3 linked regions of the Danio rerio genome follow. The protein of the gene in region 2 purifies or fractionates together with the protein of the main gene of each other region. This does not show direct contact. Links are inferred from orthologs where the notes say so. Each region holds a gene or a part of one and is shown on either strand. Other genes may lie near its edges.

Region 1 (3,660 bases), on a different chromosome or scaffold from region 2:
TACAGTCCAAACACATGCGCTATAGGGGAACTGATCAACTACACTGGCCGTAGCGTATGAGTGTGAATGTGTGTATGGGTGTTTCCCAGTACTGGGTTGCAGCTGGAAGGGCATCCACTGTGTAAAACATATGCTGAAATAGTTGGCGGTTCATTCTATTCTTGACAGAAGATCCGTGCTCATGATAACACTACACTGTGCGCTGGATATGAATGAGAAGTGTCTGACCTCTTTGGATCGGGTTGATCCTGCTTGTTTGCCCATCCTGTACCGTCTTTGGGCACGATAATCACGTTGGGATCGTTTCCTTTACTCTCAGACTTCAGACTCGGCAGGTGAGCGGGAGGAGGCATTCGCCGGGCTGCGGCCACTTTACCAAGACTCTGTAAGCCATGACGTGCAACAACTGCAGGACGAGAGGGGGAAACATCATACACACTAGGCCTGCATGACATTAGACAAATCTCACATTGACATAATTAGCAGTTCTACAATACATTTTGCAATACAGAATTGAAAATTGGTAAGGAGTTGTTCACAGTATTTCCTCTAATGTTTGTTCTTCTGGAGAAAGTCTTATTTGTTTTATTTAGGCTAGAATAAAAGCAGTTCTTAATTGTTTTAAACCCATTTTAAGCTCAATATTATTCACCCCCTTCAGCAATATTAGTGTTGGATTGTCTCCAGAACAAACCACTGTTATACAATGACTTGCCTAATTACCCTAACTTTACCCTAATTACCCTAGTGAAGCCTTTACATGTCACTTTAAGCTGAACACTAGTGTCTTGAAGAATATCTAGTCTAATATTATGTGCCTTCATCATGATGAAGATAAGAGAAATCAGTTATTAGAGATGAGTTATGAACACTATTATGATTAGAAATGTGAGAAAAAATATCAACTTTATATATAAACAATCACCAGATGATTTAAATAGCTTGATTTGCAAATAATCTATTAATCTATATTGATTTTGGCGATTCAGTGGAGGAGCGAATCATGCATCAAATGTAATAAATTGCAAGCACAGATAAACAGAGCAAATATAAAAGTGAAATAAACAGTGCTTCACAGTTTCAGGGCAATCAAATCACATTCAGATACAGAAATAAAAAAATAATTATCAAATACAAAATACAGCAAAGACTTCACCATTTCAATAATTCAGAATTATTGTCTAATTAAGATACAAATGGGAAAATTGCTTGCGCTTGGATGCTTTAAACTCTCTTTTGGCTTAAAAAAAAAAAAGCCTGCAAATAATAAACTATCACTCCGTCATGATTAAACTCAGCAGTAACTCCACAAATCTCATGTATGTGGAACCGTGGCTATATATCCTCAATATAATATATACAATCCTAAACTACATAATCTCAATCTAACATGGCAGATCCTGTGATGTGATTACTGCAGATGCACATATTGGGATATGGTTGCTGAAACTATATATTGTGCAGCCCTAATACACAACACTCACACAATCATTTTGAGTGGACGCCCCCTGGGTGATGTTTAAGGACAATAAGAGGTTCCACAAATCGTTATAAATTTACAGTGTGCCTGAAGCAATTCGGTTACGTAATAAATGCAAGCAATCGGTGGATTATTATTTATTATTTTTAGTAATTATTATTTATTATTGAATTTTTTCCCCTCAGTTTTTTGTTTGTGTACTTGATGTTAAGTGTTGGTGTTTATTGTGTTAAGCGTGTCATTCTTGTAATATGTGAAGCACCACCATGTCAGAATGAATTGCCCCAAGAGGATTAATAACCTAAACTATATTTACAGTATTAATACTTGGCAGCACGTTTGAGCTGTGCTCCATGCTTCAAGAATCAAATGTATGAAAGGATTTTCCAAACGCAATTGCAAACTGTATTGTCAACATGAATGCACAAGTTGTGACACAATCCAAATGCAACTGCAAATCCCAAAATTATATGCAATATGCATCATTTGAAGAATGTGCGGATTATCTTAAACAATGCAAATAACACATCAGCCACTTTCACACAGTAATACCAAGAACATTCAGCAGTGAACTCAAATGTGCAGATCTGCAGAAATTAGCTTGACAATGTGTAAAATAAATAAATTAGTTAAAAAAAGATGTTTGAATGATTGATGGAGATCGAAATGACAATCTGCTGTAATATGTTTGTTTATTTATGCATATAATCATTTATTACTACCATCTATCTAATATTACTCTCTTTTAAAGTGTATTGTTTTTTTTAGTTTATGTTTTATATTCTTATTCAGTAAGATGCCTGAATGATTGTAGAAGCTCTTGCTGTTGCAGGACAACACAACATGAAAAACATTACAAATATTTTCTGTTTAAATAAATATGAATTATTAAAGATGTGTGCTTGGTGATCAGCTCCTGAACGTATAATTCTGCCAACACCTGAGGAGAACTGTCTGCACGCAACACTCGTGAACGGCAGGTTAACATCTCCAATATGGCCAGAAATTAAAGATGACAGATTTGTTGATGGTGTGACGAGATGATTGACAGGGCTTGTAACTAAGCAACAGAATAATCCCTTTGATGAGAGGGTAGCTTTTCCCCAAGCTTGCACACTCTTCTGTTACACACTCGTATGTGTGCACTTTCTACACAAAAATAGACACTACACGTGTAATAGGACACAGTATGTGTCGTGTGTGTGGGATGTCAAAGTGTCGAGGCTCACCTGTGGTTTTCTGAGTTTCTATTGACTTCCCCTTGTACTTGTCAAATAGGCTGAGTGATGAATACTTGCTTTTCCCATCCTTGGACTTGGTAATTTGCCCCAAACGATCGGACATTGCGATGTAATGTCATCGAGTATGGAAATTTTTCTTTGCACCTCTTCCTCAGTACCGTCAGATTCTGCGGAGAAAAGTATAATAACGTGAGGAGACAAACCTACCTTTCCTGAACACATCCACACACAAACACACACTAGAGCTGAACGATATTGAAAGAATGAGATATTGCAATATTTACCCAAGAACAATAAAATATTGCAATATGAATACAGTTTCAGCACATGCTTGAACAGCTCTATTTGACACTTTTCTGAGGAGTCTAACAGTATTCAGGGACAGAAATGTAATTTTCTGGTGCAGATATGTTGAAGATCTTAGATCAAGTCAAATATTGCTTTGTTTTGACCTACAGGAGAAATAGCAATCCATTAAAACAAGCAAGATTATCTGCCAATGCGGTGAGTAAAATAATCGCATTTTGGCTGTAAAGTGTAGAAATTTGGACTAGAAACAAGATAAATCCTATCTATTTTGTATAAGAGCAATTCCATGCAAATGTCAACCTTTCCATGAGAAAATTAAGTTTTCACCAAAATACGGAAACAGTTTCTTGTATTTTACAGTACTTTAGACACTCAAAAATGCATCTGTCAGTGTTTTTAAACTATTCTATTAGATTTACCAAAGTCACACAAGTGGCAATTTCACATCCGTCACATCCATAACGGAGAGATGTCACATCCATAACCACACTTTTCCTCATAAATGTGGAAATATTGAATAAAATAAAAGCAAACATTTTAGTTTCATAGAGAGCCACCTTACATCCTTTAGATTAGCATCGTTTCTTTTGGGTTGTGCAGATTAATTCACAGAATTTCTACAAAGTATGT
Region 2 (3,760 bases):
GTTACCTGTATAATTATTCTTTTTTGATATATAGATATAACCTACATTATGGAAGCTACCCTGTCACAGTAATCAATATATGAACTTATCGCATTGATAAGCCGTGTCATATTATATTGACATGACCTCAGACATTTTTAGTGATGCAATATATATCGCCCATACATAAAAATGAATTCTAGCAACATTTCAGCTGGTTTTGCAACATCTCGATCTCTATTGAGGTGTCAGTATGGTTTAAAAAGCTCTACAGGTTTTACTATAAATTGCTATAGAAGATTTTCATGTGGGTGTCTGACAACTAAAAATAGATCTGCTAGCAGATATCACAGCTTCTGTTACTTTTTGCCTTGCACCTTTTTGTTAACATTTATTATTATTTATGATATGCGTTTTTACAATCTCATTCCAAAGCCATAGGATAACTAAATTAAATAGTCTTAACAATAAAATATTATGTGTTCTTTGTATGAGTGTACTTGCATTGTGGTGATATTATATTGTCATTCTGGTATTATATAATGAGTGGCATAGAATGGTATTAAAATCACAATAAAATCATTTATCGCAATGTATTTTGGTGCAATATACCGTACAACAAAAACTAGATATATCGTGACAGGCCTAATGGAAGCTTGCTTTTACAATGGAATAAAAGGCAAATATACTTAAAAAAAAGAGTAGCAATATAAACTGAACTGTAAGAACAACAAATGAAAATGAAATGAATATCTGAATTGTGAAATATAAACTTGTAAACATGAGATATACATTTAAAATGGCTGCAAAAATAAATCATGGGACTGTAGGAGAAAAAAATATCATTTTATTTAATTTTCTTATTTTAGTTATTTTACCATAGCGCAAAGCAAAATGCATTAAATGAAAAATAACAAATGTTCACAAAAGTTTCTAAACCTTCTAAAAATATAACAAAAAATGTGCTTACAACAATAACTTAACAAAACTTTAGCAAAGAAAAGAATTATATTAATTTGGAAATGCGGCCACATACCATCCAACAATGACTTCACTCGGCGAAACCTTCTTATGAAGCTCATACATGTTCTTGGCGAACTCCATGTCAACAGCCACCTATTTAAAAAAAATAAAATAAAAATAATTTTAAAAGGTAAATAAATTGCACAATGATGATGATTAAATGCTGGTGCTCCTTAGTAAAGCATAAATAACATATGGTACATGTCCAAAAATACAGTAGCATGTAACATGACACTTTTGAATTAAGTTGGTTTTATATTTGAACATTCAGACACTCGTGTTCAATAAAATAGTAAAGCAAATTTTAAAGAGGCTAATACAGATTCATTCATTTTCTTGTCGGCTTAGTCCCTTTATAAATCCGGGGTCGCCACAGCAGAATGAACCGCCAACTTATCCATCAAGTTTTTAAGCAGAGGATGCCCTTCAAGCCGCAACCCATCTCTGGGAAAAGGCTAATACAGATAAATTAGCAAATTGTTATAGTTAAAAAAAAAAAAAAAAAGCTTATGAACTCTATGAAAGGTCCCTACATTGTTTACCAGGCTACATTGAATAATCGGTCTGAAATGCATGACTTCAAAATAGGCATGGGACGATAACCGTTTTCAAGGTACACAGTGATTTAAAAAAAAAACTGATGTTTTAAAACCGCCAAAATTATCTGCTATAGATGAATTACCAGTTTGTAAACAGTAAAAAAAAAAAAAAAAACTGGAGCGCTACCATTTAGCAGAGCCGTAATCACTATGTAATACTGTGAAAATGTGATATTTATATTAAAGAATATTAACGTCAGAATTGTATACCGGCCCATGCCTACTTTAAATCCACATTAGCACCATTTAACTGACTGTAAACAATGTTGTACTTTAATAGTCACTGGCTGTTAATTTGAGTTGACCGTTTAGGATTTGACAAAGAATACCTTTCTGAAATTACATTAAGAAGGTGAAAGTCTGAATGTGCAAATATAAAATCAACTTTACCTCACTTCAATTTTGGCTGATGGTTTGTAAGTGTATTTCAACCAATCAATTAGCTAAAGATGCATAACAACAGAACATGAAATACCACAGATGTCTCACTCGAACCCTTTAGACCATTACAAAGTTACAGTGAGATACCTGTGATGTGAAATTGTTTTGTTTTTCGTTATGCCTAAAAAGCTACATAAATGTCTGGCACACACTAATGTAAAGGATGTATTAGATGATGCTTTTTTTCTCACCTCATCTTCAGACTCGTTGTGAGGAACAGAGAAGCAGTTGGTGACATCGACTGAATGTTTATCTGCTGTTCCTGTTTGACACACAAACACAACCACCAGGTAAGTGATGCTGCTGATCTGTACAGTTTCTCATCCACCCCAGCCATTCAGCTCGACTACAACACATGCTCCACAAGACCAAGCGACGCTCATGTTGTTTGTAATAATCGCAACTGTCTCATAAATCTCACACAAGAATTCAATGACCCACCTAATAATGTCCCGATCACGCGACTCGCTCCTTCATTCCTGCGCTCGTATGAGTCCACAATCGAAGCCAAAACCACCGGGTGGATTTTCACGACCGGGCCGTGCACCGCCATGATTTCGAAGAGGAAGTAAAAGATGATGATAAACAGAGAAGAAGAGCGCGTCAGTGGGATTCGCGCTGCCGCCCCCTAGCGGATGTAGGTGGCTGACAAAATAATGTGTAAAAAATTATAATCAAATAAATAATTAAACACAGCATGTAAAGTTTTAGTGGGTGGGTCAGGTTAAAGTTCTTCGAGGTTTGCTTGGTACATATCCATTTTTTCAATGGACAATTTAATAGCAACACAACTGCATGTTAATGCCAAAAATCGGATCAGCTAACCACATGGCAGCAATCCAAAACATTTAGACATGATGAAAACATGGCCAAGACAACGCACATGAAAAGATAATGGAGTAATTCATAGTAAATTGGCTACGATAGTGTTTTTGAAACAAATGATAGTAAAGTTTATTATACTGTAGGCCTATACTATAAAGTATTAAGTTAACAACACATGCTAATAAATGCTACTGCATTATCTATAATAAACTGTGTAGGCAACTGTAGTATATTTTAGTTTTACAACAGTAAATTGTGATGTATTATCATGTAGCCTAATATATAACTAACCACAGGCTATTGGGCAACTTGTTTTGCTATAGGCCTAGTTGTTGTAATAACATATCATTTAGGCCAGAGGTATCCAATCTAGGGCATGTGGGCCAAACTTGGCCCTTGATAATCTTTGATTTGGCCCACCATCCCATCTGAGAAGAGAGACTGATAGGGAGGGTTGGGACAATTGCCTTTAACAGAGATCTTAATTTCTAATTTAACGCAACCTTGGTTTGTTTGATTATTTTATTGCTGATCTACAAAAAAAAGGTAAATGAAAATAAACAAGTCAAGGCAGAGGGTGCAGCTTTACTAGTGTAACTCCATTCTGTTTTAAATGAATTTTGTTTTACTATAAAAAGTTCATTATACAGGTGAGGCAGTGGCGCAGTAGGTAGTGCTGTCGCCTCACAGCAAGAAGGTCGCTGGTTCGAACCTCGGCTCAGTTGGCGTTCCTGTGTGGAGTTTGCATGTTTTCCCTGCCTTTGTGTGGGTTTCCCCCACAGTTCAAAGACATGCAGTAAAATGGGTAGGCTAAATTGTCCGTAGTGTATGAGTGCGTGTGTGAATGTGTGTGTGTGGATGTTTCCCAGAGATGGGTTGCGGCTGGCATAAAA
Region 3 (3,660 bases), on a different chromosome or scaffold from region 2:
ATCTCCACCACATCAACAGGTACCTGCTTCTCTCTCATCCTGAAGATCTCAAAGTTGGTGACAACACCCTGAAGTAGAAAAGTAGAAATTGAGAAAATCCCTTTTTATTTTAGTGTAGCCTGAAAGTGCACTTTCAAGGCTGCTCTCATACCTGTGTTCCTTTGGGTGTTCGATCCACCTTCACACAGAGATAGTCTCCATTCTTCTGCCAGTGAAGTTTGCAGTCTACAACATTAAACAGGTTGCGGACTCTCATCTCATTCCTAGATGGAAACTGCATGAGCGTTACTCTTGCTGGGATGTCCTTATCCTCAGGGACCCAGAATGCAATGATGTTATCACCAGGTGACCAGGAGAAATCCCTGTGGAAATGAGAAAAAAAAAGTCATCAGTGCAATCACAAAAAGTTATTAGTGTAACTCTCAGGAGGCTTTTTTTAAGGTAACTTTGTAAAAGTTCCAAGTTTTATTTTTATTTTTTAAATACTTTTACTTAACAAGCATGCATAAAAACATCAAAAGTGAAAAAAATGTTTAACAAAAAAATCTGAAACATTATTCCTGAACAATTATAAATGCCTTAAATCATATTTGATACTATATAAAACACCCAAAAATACAAATATTTATGCCTTTAATTGTTTAATATTACTCACTTAATTCCGTTTATCTTCAAACTCTTCTTCTCCAAAAGACCCATCGACTAGAAAAGAAACAATTTTCGATTGAGAATCCTCAGAGATCAGCTGTTTAAATAACAATCTCATGTCTAAACCATAAGAGACTTACTGGAGTCTCGTAGATGCTCAGCATGTCTTGGGTCATTCGGGCGAAGAATTTCCCATCTGGACTCCACCTGAAGACAACAGGTTTCCGCGTAAGTTATTATATTCTAGTTCAAATGTACTCAAATCAGGAACATGTGCTACGAAATTCGACTAAGGTCACACTTACTTGAAAATTGGCCAGTGGGCAGAGCTTTCACAGTGAAAGCCTCTTTTCTTCTGTCCTGTGAGAACATCCCAGATAATGATGGCCTGTGGGTCGTCTTTAGTGTCCATAAGAGGGCTGAATGTAACAACATACCTGCAAAAAAAAAAAAAAAAAAAGGATAACATTAAAAAAGGTTTACTAACCTGAAATAAAAATTACTAATTTGACTGTAATAGAAAATGATGCACTGAAAATGCCCTACTAGTTAAATCAAGTAGTAACAAGGATGATTTATTAGTCATTACTTGGTTATTTTGAATTATCGTTATGAAAGGATGACCAGGATTATGACTGTTAACTAATGTTATCACTAACGATGTTAACCATTAGTCAACTTCTCATTTGATGCTCATTTACTCAACCTCAACTGAACCACTGAAAACATCCCGCAGAAGATTGGCTATTTTCAAGTTCGTGGAGTACCGATTACAGCATCCATAATATAATCGGTTAAGTAGACCTGAGCATTTGTTTAATTGTTCAAGTAAAAAAAAAATGAAAACAAGCAATGTACGAGAATCAGCGAGCACAATTGAAAATGACACTCATTGTCTTGGTAACATAAATGTAAAAGGATGACAGGATATTTCTGTTTTTAGCACTCATTTTTACTGATGTAATTTTTATTTAGTTTAACAACAAAACACAAGTAAATGAGCTCTTCCGATCAGCTATTCAGCTTTACTGAGGCGAAGTTTGATTTATATTCACACATTTGTTCATTTTTGAACATTGACAGCCTGTGACACAGTTTTGGGGAAATTTAAATCCTGCAACCGCTGGCCGGTCAACAACTATGCTTGATAAAGTTTGTGTCCATAGAGTTTTCTAACTAGTGAATGACATGATCTAGTGTTATATCTAATCAGTGCGCGTTTGCAAGTTCATAACTTAAGGAGGCGTGGCTTTGGACGGCAGGGGTCGTAAAATTTCTATGCTATTATGCTAATGCTAGCATTCTGGCAGATGACCTACTGCATCTTTAAGGTGAACTCTGAGAACTTTGTCCTATGTCACCATTTTTCAAAAATGGCTTTTTCATATAGAATTTGATTTTTTTTTTGCTAGAAAGTAAAATTGTTTCCTGTGAGGTTTGGGTTGAGGATAGGGTGATAGTACGTACAGTATAGAAACAAAAACATATGGAATGTTTATTTGAGTCTAAATCAGGGAGCAAAATGTGTTAAAATACAAACATGAGGCCATTTCTAAACAGGAGAACATGACATACCTCTCACAGGGAGAGAAGTCAATGAGCTGAACCCCCTGATGACTGAACCTCTGGATCTGCTTGAACTTCTCCCCACCCCACAGAGCGATGCCTCTCTGATGGAATGTAGCCAGATACGTGCCTTTCGGAGACCAGCGCACGTATGTCTCAGTCCAGCGCTACAAGTAAGATACAAAGAAAAATACTGATTGTCAGAGCATGCACGTCCACAATATCTATATATTCTTACAGATGAATGATAGTCTTCTATAACATTACACTTAACTCACCGCTCTCTCCTCCACTTCAATAGGCTCCTTGACATCATTGGCGAATATGCCCGTTCTTTCACCAGAGTCATAGATAACGCTGTACTGATCACGACAGTCAGGATCCTCCATCCAGTGGCGCAGATTACCCTGTAAAAGAAACACCAAATATTAACATTCATTAATTTTTGTAATAAAAGATTTTCAGTAGGTTATGACGACAATGACAATCAAAAATATTATTAAACTCACAAAATCTTTAAATGGCTGCTTTTCAGGAGCTTCCCACTCATCACAGATTGACATGTACCTATGTGGATAAAAGACTTTAGATTAGTGATCAGTTGATTATTAATGCATCACCTGATTTTCTCTTCCATGTTATTGTATGTGCCACATTTTTGCATGTATAGCAAAGTATGTAGGGCTGCAGCATCACAATGTATGCATCTGCAAGTCACATCACAAGGTATCAGGCAGGAATCCCAAATGACAATGCACCATCGGTCAGGGGTGCGTTTCCCAAACAACGACGTAACTCGCAGCTGAACTATCATAGTACGTTGCATCGTTTGGGAAAAGAACGATGTCGTGACAAATATTTCCCAAAACTCGTGGTTTCTCTGTCGCAGATCCATCGCTTGAACCACGTTAGTTTTAACATAAAACGCCCATAATGATGCTCTAAACAGGGTGGAGTAACTACATCTTTAGAGAAAAACTCAAATTCTTTGTGCCAATTATATTGTTTTATACACACATGCATTTAAAATAAAATCCAATATTAGAGTTGGAAAAAACATGCACTTGTTTTTCATTTTTACTGAAATCTACATAAATGTATATGTAATATACATTAAAATTCATGTATTAAATGCATAAATTCTGCTTTTAAATAATAGGTCTCCCACAGCTTTCGTCATGAGGCTGTGTTCAAAATTATATCAATATTTTCAAAATGCACTGCGAAGGTAGCACATTTGTAAACATGAAGATCGCTAAAACTGAACCGTAAAAATAGTTAGAAAGCAAATTACACCTAAGAGAGATGACCTTAATGTTTTTTTTTATTTTTAACAATACCAACTTTTAATATTAGAATGTTCTAAATGAATAGCGCATAGGGGGATAAGTGGGAATAGAACACAGCCAGGAACTATGTTTCTAACTACAGCTCCAGACAGTGAGA

What was found.
Region 1: the proteins of eif3f (region 2) and prrc2b purify together in Homo sapiens (affinity purification with mass spectrometry; 3 studies listed by BioGRID and IntAct, counting the BioPlex papers as one, with this or other methods). This does not show direct contact. The link is inferred for Danio rerio from reciprocal best matches to the Homo sapiens genes EIF3F and PRRC2B.
Region 3: the proteins of eif3f (region 2) and eif3ba purify together in Homo sapiens (affinity purification with mass spectrometry; 14 studies listed by BioGRID and IntAct, counting the BioPlex papers as one, with this or other methods). This does not show direct contact. The link is inferred for Danio rerio from reciprocal best matches to the Homo sapiens genes EIF3F and EIF3B.

What each region holds. Positions count from the first base shown.
Region 1 is NC_133180.1:78,421,193-78,424,852, forward strand, and holds part of prrc2b (protein PRRC2B), read right to left. Parts: intron 2,889-3,660; 5' UTR 2,825-2,888; coding exon 2,710-2,824; intron 407-2,709; coding exon 229-406; intron 1-228.
Region 2 is NC_133176.1:11,702,039-11,705,798, reverse strand, and holds the start of eif3f (eukaryotic translation initiation factor 3 subunit F), read right to left. Parts: upstream 2,623-3,760; 5' UTR 2,596-2,622; coding exon 2,484-2,595; intron 2,305-2,483; coding exon 2,234-2,304; intron 1,096-2,233; coding exon 1,016-1,095; intron 1-1,015. UniProt on the Homo sapiens protein: Component of the eukaryotic translation initiation factor 3 (eIF-3) complex, which is required for several steps in the initiation of protein synthesis.
Region 3 is NC_133178.1:40,722,623-40,726,282, reverse strand, and holds part of eif3ba (eukaryotic translation initiation factor 3, subunit Ba), read right to left. Parts: intron 2,782-3,660; coding exon 2,724-2,781; intron 2,622-2,723; coding exon 2,493-2,621; intron 2,382-2,492; coding exon 2,224-2,381; intron 1,086-2,223; coding exon 954-1,085; intron 856-953; coding exon 789-855; intron 703-788; coding exon 656-702; intron 363-655; coding exon 152-362; intron 69-151; coding exon 1-68.